3 linked regions of the Tamandua tetradactyla genome follow. The protein of the gene in region 2 interacts with the protein of the main gene of each other region in a pairwise test. Links are inferred from orthologs where the notes say so. Each region holds a gene or a part of one and is shown on either strand. Other genes may lie near its edges.

What was found.
Region 1: the proteins of ATN1 (region 2) and LENG8 interact in a two-hybrid assay, tested with the Homo sapiens proteins (2 studies listed by BioGRID and IntAct). The link is inferred for Tamandua tetradactyla from reciprocal best matches to the Homo sapiens genes ATN1 and LENG8.
Region 3: the proteins of ATN1 (region 2) and WWP1 interact in a two-hybrid assay, tested with the Homo sapiens proteins (2 studies listed by BioGRID and IntAct). The link is inferred for Tamandua tetradactyla from reciprocal best matches to the Homo sapiens genes ATN1 and WWP1.

Annotation. Positions count from the first base shown.
Region 1 is NC_135342.1:5,048,506-5,052,250, forward strand, and holds the start of LENG8 (leukocyte receptor cluster member 8), read right to left. Parts: upstream 2,153-3,745; 5' UTR 1,987-2,152; intron 1,654-1,986; exon of another isoform or gene 1,535-1,653; intron 496-1,534; exon of another isoform or gene 492-495; 5' UTR 441-491; coding exon 403-440; intron 1-402.
Region 2 is NC_135333.1:69,229,571-69,233,315, forward strand, and holds the start of ATN1 (atrophin-1), read left to right. Parts: upstream 1-1,054; 5' UTR 1,055-1,201; intron 1,202-3,121; exon of another isoform or gene 3,122-3,745. UniProt on the Homo sapiens protein: Transcriptional corepressor. Recruits NR2E1 to repress transcription. Promotes vascular smooth cell (VSMC) migration and orientation. Corepressor of MTG8 transcriptional repression.
Region 3 is NC_135332.1:129,830,012-129,833,756, reverse strand, and holds the start of WWP1 (NEDD4-like E3 ubiquitin-protein ligase WWP1), read right to left. Parts: upstream 2,897-3,745; 5' UTR 2,710-2,896; intron 1-2,709. UniProt on the Homo sapiens protein: E3 ubiquitin-protein ligase which accepts ubiquitin from an E2 ubiquitin-conjugating enzyme in the form of a thioester and then directly transfers the ubiquitin to targeted substrates.

The sequences.
Region 1 (3,745 bases), on a different chromosome or scaffold from region 2:
TAATATAGGACCTGGCATGCAAGTGTTTTGTAAGTTAATGAGCTCTGTCTGAAAACACTACCCAAGTTATCAGGTTATCACAGTTTGGGAAAAAAAGAGAAATCAGCAGAAAGATAAATGAGTACTGAAGGTTGGAAGTTGCCACCTAATTATAATCCCTTGAGGAGATCATCACAATTCTGACACTAGCACCGAACTGTGGAAAATAAGAACCCAGAGCATGTTGCCACTCTCCACACTACGACCAGTTTCCATTTGTCCTCTGGCAGATAAGAGCCTCACTCCCACCCCTCCTACCTCCCATCATGGGATCCGTTTCATCACTTCCCTCCACCCTGTGTGAGGTCCCACCCCGAGGACAACACTGTGTTTTACTTCCTCTTTCTCTCCAGCCCCACTAACCAATCTGTGCTACGTTGATCACCCACGTTGGCCGCCATCTGGACCCTGGGGCGTAAGGGGTGGACCTCGGGAGCCAGACTGCTTTTTCACTGTCTGCGAGAGAAAGAGGGGATTAGGAAGACTCAAAAAGAAATGAGAAACATGCCAGAGACTGGGAAAGAGAAGTCTCCGGAGACAAACAATCTGAAAAGCATTTGAAGTCTGGGTGTGGAATGAAAGGGCTGGAGTATGAGGGGACGCCCATGTACTCCCCGAAATGCTCTAGGGGGGAAAGGAAGGACTTGAAAATAGGTCTGAGGGCATTTCCCAAACGGAGAGGGAAGGGTCTGAAATCCGTATGACAAAAGAGAAGGGTGTGAGGGAAGCCCTGAGAGAGGCTGGAGGAAAGTCGGGAGAATGTGACAGGGGAACTTCAGCCAAAGGTTCAGAGGGAAACAGAAGTAACAGGTCAACCGAAGGAGCAAAGTCTGAGTGATCCCTTAGGGACAAAAGCTTGGGGAAACTTCTGGAGGAACCCTGTATACAAAGGAAAGCCGATGAAGGAGCACTGAGAGATAAGGGGAGGGGCTGGGACAGAGAGAACTTTAAGATTTCTACAAGTTACCCTAGAAGCAGGGAAAAGTGAGAGAGTACAGGATGGGAACATCACGCGAAACAAAGGGTTCTGATTAGGCTTTTAAAGACTGATTTCAGAAAGGCTCTCTAAGAGCAAAGCAGAAACGTAAAGGGGAGGTTTCAGAAATGAGCCTGGGAAAGAGGAAAAGAAATCGATTCTCTTAATTGGGGACCTGGGGATAAAGCTTCGGGGTTGCTGAACAGGCAAAACATCTTTAGGAAGTTATTACTAGAGTGGGGTGGTAAGCGCCGAAGGAAAGAGAGGGTCTTGGGAACCGAGACTGAAGAGGGCTTAATGTCCCTGAGGGAGGAACAGGGGTGGGGTCAAAGGCGAAGCCCGATGAGAAATGAAGAGACGGGGCAGGAATCTGGGGCCCGGCGAAGCCCTAGCGAGCAAACAGAACCTGGGCGGAAGCAGGGGGTCCGTGGGGACAGTCCTAGGGGGTGGGGTCTTGGGCGAGGTCCCAGAGGGGCCTCACGAGGGGAGCACGGAGCTGGGAGACCGGCCGGGGAGCACCTGGTCGTCCAGCAGGACCGAGGCAGGCGAAGAAGGGCGCGGGGTGGAAGAGGCCGCGCGGCCTGGGAGCCACCGCCCCGGGCACGCCGCGCCTGCGCACCAGGATCCCTGGGGGGAGGAACGCTGCTCGCGGGACGCCTGTCTCCCGGGGCAACGCGGCCCTGCTCGTGGAAACGTCCTGTCAATGGCAGGTGGGGCGCCTCCGGGACCCGAGAACTCCCGAGCAGGGATGGGGGGGGGATGAAAAGCGGAAGACCACGGCGCATGCGCATTGACCCGCCCGCGTTCCCGCTCCGAAGCGCACGCGCAGTGCCCGGCCTTGCCCGCCCCACCCTGTGGACGCTCACGCGCCACGGCTGTTGGTATGACTGCCGAGCAGGCCTTGGGGCCCGCCGGGCATAAGCCCTGAGGGAGCAAACGCCCCCTCCCCCATCGCTCGCCGCCGTCCCTACCTGCCTCGACCACGAGCTCCCGGGACTCGTCAGCGGTGCCTCAAAGCGATAGCGACGCGACAGCGGAACCGCTCGGCGACCTGGCCGGCTCTTCTCTTCTTTTGGCTTCGACGATCGGACCGCGGCGTCCTGACGTCACGAGGAGGCCGCGCCCCGCCTCCCTCGCTTTTGCCCGGCCAATGTGCGCCGCGAGCCGGATCTGAGCCCGGCCTCCCACCTACGCATATTAAAGCGCTGGGCCGCCGCGGGCCAGCAGGGCTGGGACGGTGGCCCCGAAGGGACACGCCGCGCAGGCGTGAGTCGTTGATGCGCTCTTCTCCCTTCCGGGCTTCCTTGTTTGGGCTGGGTTGGTGGTAACCATCTTTACTCCTTGCTGTGAACTAGGTTGATGGGCATGGCTTATAACGTGGGAGCCCAGGAGAGGATGGTTAACTCAGCGGGGGCGTCAGGAGAGGCCTCCACCCAGGAATGGCGCGCGTGGCTGTGGGTCGTGGGGCCCTGGGCGGCGGGAGAGGACGGTGGGGCCTGGAGGGGAGAGAGGGCGGCGGAGCTGGTGGTCGTCGTGTCGGGCTGCGGACTTGGGATCCCCGGGAAGCCCCCGAGCCCCCTGTCCCCACAAGCCCCTCCACGTCCTCTTTTGTGCTATTGCTGAGCCGGGGATTGGCGTCTTAGTGCTTATCGACATACTCGGGTCCTCTTTCTGATCATTTTTTAAAGCCCTTTTTAAGCCCGACTTCCTGAACTCTGCCCTGCGTCCTTGTTTATAGAGAGGAGGATAATAGTGCCTCGCGGGGTTGTGTGAGGAGCACAGGAGTCAGTCTCTACATGTCATCGCTGTGTGCGTAGCAGCTGGGTTTTAAATCATTGCTTAACCTTATGGAACTGGGTTCTCTCGGTGCATCACAGACATACTGTCAGGTCCACAGAGAGAGGTTTATCTCATTCTCCTCCGTGGCTTAATAATATTCCACGCAGAGCACTCATTCGTTGACTCGTTGGGTAGGTATTAGGGGTGGGATCATGTGACCATGAGAAATCCCTGTCTCCCAGGACATCTGGTGGGAGAACAGTCAATACGCAGATAACACGGACAGATCTGTCCTAGGCGGCGCTTAGGCCATGCCAGGGCTGGGTGTGGTTTAAGGGGAGGTCTGAGAGGTTGGCGTGGGAGTGGGTTCTGGAGGAGGAGAGGGAGAGTCGGGGCCCCGTCCTCCAAGCTCCCCCGATGGTAGCCTCCTCAGAGAAGGGCAGCTTGGAGGCTGTGGCTTCTGGAGCGCAGACCTCAGGGCTTGGGTCCTGAGAGGAGGAACCTGCAAAACACGGAATGAGGGTGCAGTGCCTTTTCCGAAAGGGTCCCTGCCTCGGTTTCCTCAGATATCCTAGCTATCCTACAGATAGCTCCTCCCAGGCCACCCAGCACAGATCTGAGACCGGCTGCACCTTAGGCACAGATGGGAACGCCATCTCATCTACTGTTGTGCCGGTGTTCTCATTTTAGTTTTTGTTTTTCCTGCTTGCTCCTCCAGATCTAACCTTTGCCAACCTCTGCCGTGCCTCTGTGCCCGGAGGCTGACTTATGAACTGCACTGTGACCCAGGCACCTTTACCCTTTGCCTGCCCTTTGCATTGGACCCGGCAGGGGATGGGAAAAGAGAGGTCGTGATATTCGTTCCCCTGGCCCTCTCCTCCCTGTCCTGCTGCCATTTTGGACGTGGTTACGTGCCTCTCCCTGTGGCCACAGCCCCTGTCTGGCTGGCTG
Region 2 (3,745 bases):
CTCTTCCTCCTGTATAGGGCTCTATCTTTTCAATTTCTTTCCTCTCTGACCCCAAACTTTCACCTCATTCTCTTTGGTAATCCCCATTAGTAACCTCCCCCCCCCAAACAACAACAACAACAAACTCCTCCGTTTCATCTCTGCCACAAATCCTGTCACCCCAATCTCTACCCCAGTACCCCAAACTCCTCCCACCTCTCTTTATCACATTCCTATGATCCCTGAAGACCCTGTATTTTTCCAATCTTTTCTTGTCTAACCCCATTGCCCTAATCTTACCCCAGGACCCCAAACTTCCACCTCACCTCTGCCCCAGACCCTGTCACCCCCAAAGTCCTTCAGTCTTCCCCATATCTGCCCTTAAAAACCACCGCCCCGCCCGCCCAGCCCCCTCCCGCGCCAGGCCGGCGGGCTCCCCACATTCCGCCGCCGCGAACCCCTCCCCGCGCCCCGGCCCCTCGGCCTCGGTCTCGGCCAACTCGCTCAGCGCCTCCCTCTCTCCGGATCCCCCTCTCTCCCCCCTCGCAGCTTGCCTCGCGCTCCCTCCCTCGCGTCTCCCTCCTGGCCCCTCTCTCCTCCGTTCCTCCGCGCTCCCTCCTTCTCCCTCTTCCTCCCTTCTCCCATCCCCCTCTCCCAAGCTCCCTCCCTTCGCCGTCCGCTTTCCTGTGCTAGTCGCCGGACGCGCAGCCCAGCTCGCCCGCAGCCCCGCGCCGGGCCGGGGCCTCGGGCCGGGACCCATTTCGAGGGGGACCGCTGGCCTCGGGGAGGGGCTAGGAGGGGGCGAGCGCGGCGACCTCCCGGGGAGGGGGGGCCGCGGGCGGAGGCCGCCGAGGGGGCCCGGATCGCGCGAGTGCGGGCGGCGGCGCAGGTCGGAGCGGCGCAGAGGGCCCGCGGGCGGGGGCGGCGGCGCGGCGGGGACGTTTCGGGCGGCCGGGGAAAGGCGGCCGGACAGGGGAGGGCGCGAGCGGGAGCGGGGACCGGATTTGCTCCTGGGGCCGGCGGGCGATCGGAGCCAGGTGGGGAGGAGAGGGGGGATGGGGGCCGCCCTCCGGGGGGGTCGGGGCCGCCGCCGCCGCCGCCGCCGCGGCGACTGAAGCCGGGTATAGAAGAGGGGGGCGGGGAAGCGGCGGCCGCCGCCCCCCGGAGGCGCCGGAGCAGCGAATCCCGCCCGAGCCAGCCAGCCGTTCCGAGCTACAACCAGGTAAGATCTGCTGCCTCTCGGGCCTCCGGCCTGCCCGGGTTCTGGCTCCCCACCCCCACACGTCCTAGCTCCCCCTCCCGCCGCCGCCGCCGCCGCCGCCTCCGCCTCCATTTGTTATTTTCCGGATCGGATACCCCCACTGCGGGCACTGCCTGGCTTGAGACTAGGGGCCCCGAGGGTGGGGCTGGCTCCGAGGAGGGATAGGGGCCAGGGCACCCGGAGGATCAGAAAGGTGGGGGGGAAAGGGAGGATCTCAGGAGGAGGGCTGATTGGGCAAAGGGGATAGCCAGGACCACCGGACCAAAAGAGGGGGGATACTGAGATGGGGGGGTTGGTAGAGGAAAACCAAGGGATGCCCGTGAGCAGTACTGGGGCGAAGGTAGAAATGACTGGAGAGATGGCAACCGAGGTGGGGCATGAAAGATCCAGGAAAAGCTCTAAAGGCAGGCAGTCCGGCTGGGTTCCAGGGCCCGAGATTGGGGGTGCTAGGAATAGAAGGGAAGTGAGAAATGGGGAAGGGGTGTGGTAGGTGGAAAGAGAGGGATTGTAGCTGATGAAGGAGGGAACGGGACCTGGAAAAACGCTGGGAAAGGAACAAGAGGTCTTTCTTAGAGAGGAAAAACTCGAGGTTTTGGGGGTGGGAGGGGGAAGGTAGTGCCTTTCGGTTCAGTTTTCTTTCCCCCACTCTAGGTCACCTTTGACCCTGTTTTTCTAATTCCAGACTTAGTTACTTTGGGAGAGGGGCAATGGGGTCCAGAAGTGTGGGTCCTCTTAAAACTGAAGAGGGGCAAGACAGGCACTGATGGAAGAAAGGGTTGAGGTAGAGAGAGACAACTGGGCAGACCTCTAAGCATTCGAAAGAGATTGTGGTCTGAGAGTGTGTGGGGGTTCATTACTGCTTTGAGCTCTAAGATTTTTGTGCATGGGCTTGTTTCTGCTGGGGAAGGTACCCTTAAGCTTACTTTCCCAAAGGTGGTAGGAGGATAGGAGTTGCTTTGGCAACTGAGGGGAAGATTGGCTGCCATATGGCCCCTAGGATGGCCTCTTGGGGGTGGGGTGGGGTTCTGCCATTTCGTTGCCATGGCAGTGGTCCAGTGGGATGTCCAATAGGTGGGGGTTCAGAATCTTGACTGAACCCTCAGCCTGTGGCTATGTCCTCAGGGCATAGCAGGGCCCCCAATCCTTAGGGGTCTTGACTGAATTTTGGAGGATGTTTCTGGTGCTGCTAGTTGGTTGATAGGAGGTTCCCCAGGGGAGTGCACCCCCTTCCATCCAGCAATCTTTTGGAATGGGTAGACATGCTACTTGCAGGTCACAGGTATATCTACAAGTCCCTTCCCCCAGGCATGGTAGGAGGATGAAAATGCTCCTAAGTTATATCATCTTTGGCACTTCTTTCTTGCCTCTACCTCTCTTACTACTATGGATTTTTTGTACACAGGTCTTTTTGCTTTTCTGCAATGATATTCTTCCATCTTCTTAAACTTGACTTTCTCCTTCAGTCTGTCTTCCTTAGGACCCCTTTTCCTCTTTCCCAGATTATACTCAAGGTGACCGCTTCCCTCAGCTAACCTTTGACCTTTTACTTTCCTGACTTTGTAGGAATGGCCAGGCTGTCCCCACCCATCCCAATTGAGAGTGGCCCAAGGCAGAGAGCTTTGGGACAAAATGGTGCAGTACTCTGAAATGGGAGGCAGGAGGCCTGGGTCTCTTCTAGTTGTGCCTCCAAGGAAGTGTGACCTTGGGTGAATCACTTCTTTTTGAGATTTGGCTTCATTGTAAAATGAGGGGATTATAGACTAACTAATCTGTGAGCCCCACCTGACAACCCTGGATTCTAAGTCTGCTCAGGCCAGTGCATCCTTATCTGCTTGTCTAGGCTGCCTCGTTATCTAGGAGTTACTTTGGACTGGTTGGTAAATCTGGCAGGTCCTGAATGATGGGGGCTGGGCCAGCAATCTTGAAATTCACCCTGTAGGTCCCTCCTAAAAAGCCTTGTGACTCAGTGTGTTCCTTCTGACATCCTTCCATATTTCTCCCTTAATTTCTTTTCCTCTTCTTGCTGAGGGGTTCTTCCTATTTCTCACAACCCTTTTCCAACTCCCCTTCTGGTCTTGAGCCTTTTCACTTTGCATAAGGTAATGCAGGTGAATGTGTTTAGTGTGTTGCTGACACTTAGGAGGTGCTGGATAAATAATACAGTGAGCAACTCCTAGGGCAAGATGGAGGGTAGCTTAGCTGGTTGGTGCTAAACCTTGTCCCAGGTTGGGGAACAAAAATACAATCCAGTCCTAACCACTCCCTTTCCCTCCCCTCCATTTGTTATCCCCAGTATTGCCTACTCTTTTATGACTGCTTTTCTCCTTCAGAGTTACTAATTGCTAATTTTATCAGATCTCAGCTGATTAAAAAGTTGAGGTGGTACACTACGCTTGTTTTCTTCAGGTGCATACCTGTATTTCTCTGACCTTTTGGAGCCCCTAGCTCTGACTGCCTTGGTGCAGAGGTTCTGTGGCAGGGAGGAGGGATGGGCACCCTGCCTTG
Region 3 (3,745 bases), on a different chromosome or scaffold from region 2:
ATACCCAACTGATGGTAAATCATATTATCTTCATACAAGAAAGAAAACCATCACTGTCAGTTAACTAACTCCTGATTCCACTTTACCCACTTGTTTACTAAGGGCAAATCATTTAACCTCTTGGGTTAGTCTGTTTCATAATATAATAGGAAAGAATATGTTAGTCAAAATTCCTATAAACTATGAAGTACAACACAAGCATAAGATATTACATCTCTAGGTACCCTCTACAGCAGGGGTTCTTCATCAGTGTGGATAGAGGAACCTAAAAGTTCTATTGTTTTATAAAGCTCCCAGATCATTCTGAGATCTGCCTCCCCACCCAACCCACTGGTCCACAGGTTCCACGGTTGAGCTTCAGGTGGTGTATGGATTTCCCTATAATTCAATCCACAAAGCACAGGTGCATATGGGAATTTTTCAAGCCAACTGATTTCTTTAGTTTCACAAAGGGTTAGTTGTCTCAGATGGTTAGTTGTCTCAAAATTACAACTACAGCTGTAAAATAACATACATGCACTGGGATTAAAGCTTCCAAAGATTTTGCTCAAAATGTTACCACCATTCTCCCAACCAATCTGGATCAGAATCTTGGATATTTTATATTTTCTTCATTCTTTCTTTCATCATCAAATCTGGTCTATTCTACTCCCTTTCTCCTTTCCATTCCCATTATCACCACCTCAGTTCTGATACTTACGTCACTATCTATAGCCCAGACAGAGAGCAATGGGGAGGCCTCCCCACACGCGACTACTGGATTAATCCTAAAATACAGCTTTAGTCGTTGCATCCCCAACTCAAAAATCTTCTCTGGAACCTCACTGCCTACTAAATCCAAGGTGATAAACCTGGCATTACAAGCAATCCATAAACTGGGCCAAATTTTTACTTCAAGTTTTATCATCCTTTATTCCTGTACAAATACTTTATGTTCCATCAAACATAATTACTGGTCTCTCTGTGAATGTATGAACTCTGCTCTTAGACCCTTTACTCTGCGTGTATTACCTTTCACTGTCTATCAAAGTCACAGTAATCCTTCAAAACCAAGACTTCAGAAGCCAGAAGCATCCTAACTCCCTAGCCTTACCTTGCTGAATGAAATAAGCTCGACCTCCTTTGACTTTGAAGTCCTTAGGGGACTTCTGTATCATTTATGAAGCGAAGCTATATAATAAAAGACAAATGAGGCATTTGTGTAGTACTATCTACCTACCTAGTCTGTGGAAGGTTTGAAGGCAGAGACTGTTATCCTCATCTTTGTATTCCCTAAATACCTCACACAGTCTTGCAGTAAACACTTAATAATTGTGTAAGGAAGTAAAAAAATTCAGCCAGCACGGGGTAAACAGCTAAGATTAGGATCTCTTCCAAGGCAGACATCCTCTATCATGCCAAGCTTCAAAAAAAATGTAACTGTAAATCACTGCTTTTCAAAACCGTGGTGTCACAGCACTTATAAGCAGTTTTGCACTGTAAAGGAAGATTTATTTGAAAATGTTAATAAACAACATCCCAAAGAAATGAACTATTCCACATGCTTTATGTGTCTCAATTTGAGTAGCACCCAACACTTGGTCAACTCAAGTATTTAATTTAAAAACGATTAACTATTGATTTACTACTGAATGGCCAAAACAAGTCACATTAAAAGAATACCTTCTTTTTTTTAAAAGGTGCAATACACTGCATCTTGCTTGTTTAATACAGAGACTTAATAAGACAAGAAAGTCGATTTATACATAAGTATAAACTCTCACAGAAACCTGCAGACAATTATAAACCAGATACTTCAGGTAAAAAAGACCAAAGGGAAAAAAAATGGGACATTATTTTTCCATAACTATAACCGTAGCACCTTAAAGCAGAAAGTCATATCTTTTTGCACATGAGCCTACACAAAAAGACGAAACATCAAATAAAAACTGTAAAGCCAAATCAGGCCACTGGATGAAGAAGTAAAAATGTCAAAATAACAACTACTTCAGTAACGAAGGTCTCACATAATCATCGGAGCAAAAGAAGCTCAACTCCATATCGATGGAGTAAAGAAAGGGTTGTGCGTAAGATAGTTTAAAGGTTGTAAAAGCAACGGGCAAACTACAAAATAAAAAAAAGAAAGAAGTCCTAAGTCATAGATGGGATAAGGACTGGTTAAAAACTGCAAGGTCACAGGGACCTACCAGGTCACAAAGGTGGAAGAGGGAGCTGTTTTAAAGGGAACTGCAGTCAGTGAAAAACAGGGGGTGATAAAAACATGTCAGAAGAAGACGTTCTAAGGCTGGGAGTCCTTCGTTTGAGACGGTGGAATTGCGGTGAAACCAGGGGTACCGGCAGTTAAGCCAAAATATTTGTGTTTGGTGAGGAGGTGTTAGGGAAATGAAAAGAGATAGAACGGAGGCGAAAAGAAGACTAAGGAAGCTTGAGAACTGCGGCTGCAGAGTCACGGAAACACTTCTGCCGGCTCCAGTAACAGCAGCAGAGGCCTCCGCCAGAGCCAACTCGGGGCAAGACCCGTGACCCCACCCCCCAAAACTCGGAGCCCCAGGGCTGGGAGGCAGCCAGGAAGGCGCGGGCCGTCACTGACCGTCACCGACAGCCCCTCGGAGGGTCCTGCCGGGGTGCGCACGGCGCGGGTTTCCCCGGCCCGCCGCGGAGGCTCAGGGCCCGCACCCGCCCCTCACCACCGCCCCGCACCGTCCTTACCCGCGCGAAGCCGTCTGCTCCCGGCGGCCGGACGGCCACGGCAGCGGCGCCTCCTCCTGCGGGGTCACTCTCACCCTTCCGCGCCCAGGATCGCCATCTCACAGCAGGCTCGTCGGCCCCGGCAGCCCAGGCCGCCCGCAGCCACTCGGAACCCGCACACCGCCCTCGCCGACTCCCGACCCTCCCCCCACCCCCACCCCGGCCACGCGCCACCTCCAGCCCAACCCACACCTCCTTCCGCGGGAGCGCGCCGCGGCCCGAGTGCGCGTCTCCCCACCCGCCGGCCCGCCCCGACACCGCGCGCTGCGCCGCGGCCGCCCAGAGACTCCAAGTCTGGACCCGGAATCCGGCTTTCCTCGAGCATGCGCAGCCAGGGCGCCCCACTGATGCCTTTAGAAAACTCCGCTACTCCGGGTCTTCGGAGTGGTCGAGTGGAGATGGAGGAGTGGCCAATGGGAGAAGGGGGTGGGGCCTGAACCTGTGGAAGGGGCGGGGCCGCTGCCGAGATTTGGGAAGAGGTTTCCAGCTGGCGGCGGGTGTTGCTGACTTGACTTTCCGGTCCGCGGCTGAGCCGGGGGCGTGACCTCAAGGAAGGTCCTCCGGGCAGTGGCATTCTTTCCCCAAAGCTATGTAGCAAAAGTAGGTGCTCCTAAATATTCCTTGACTTCACCGAGTGTTTGACACAGAACATTGCAAGAGTAAATAAAACCAGAAGTCTTCTAGACCATTTTTATTAGTAATTCAAATGTTCATTTCCCCCCCACCCCACCCGGGCCCGGCCCACATTACCCCAGTGATGAAGCTAATACTTAATTGGCAAGTACATGTGTCTGTGCAATTAATAGACCATAAAGTAGGGTAGATTATCTCCATGAAACAATTGAGTCAATTGGTTTAGAGAAGTGGAAAGACTCCCTTCCCCCAGTCTCCCACAGACGGAAAACAGTGTTAGGTCCGGGAAACGGGGAAGGGCACTGCAACTGTAGCTGCTGAGGCTGTGTCGCCCCTCCCAACATGGCTTCTGGAACCGCCCCTT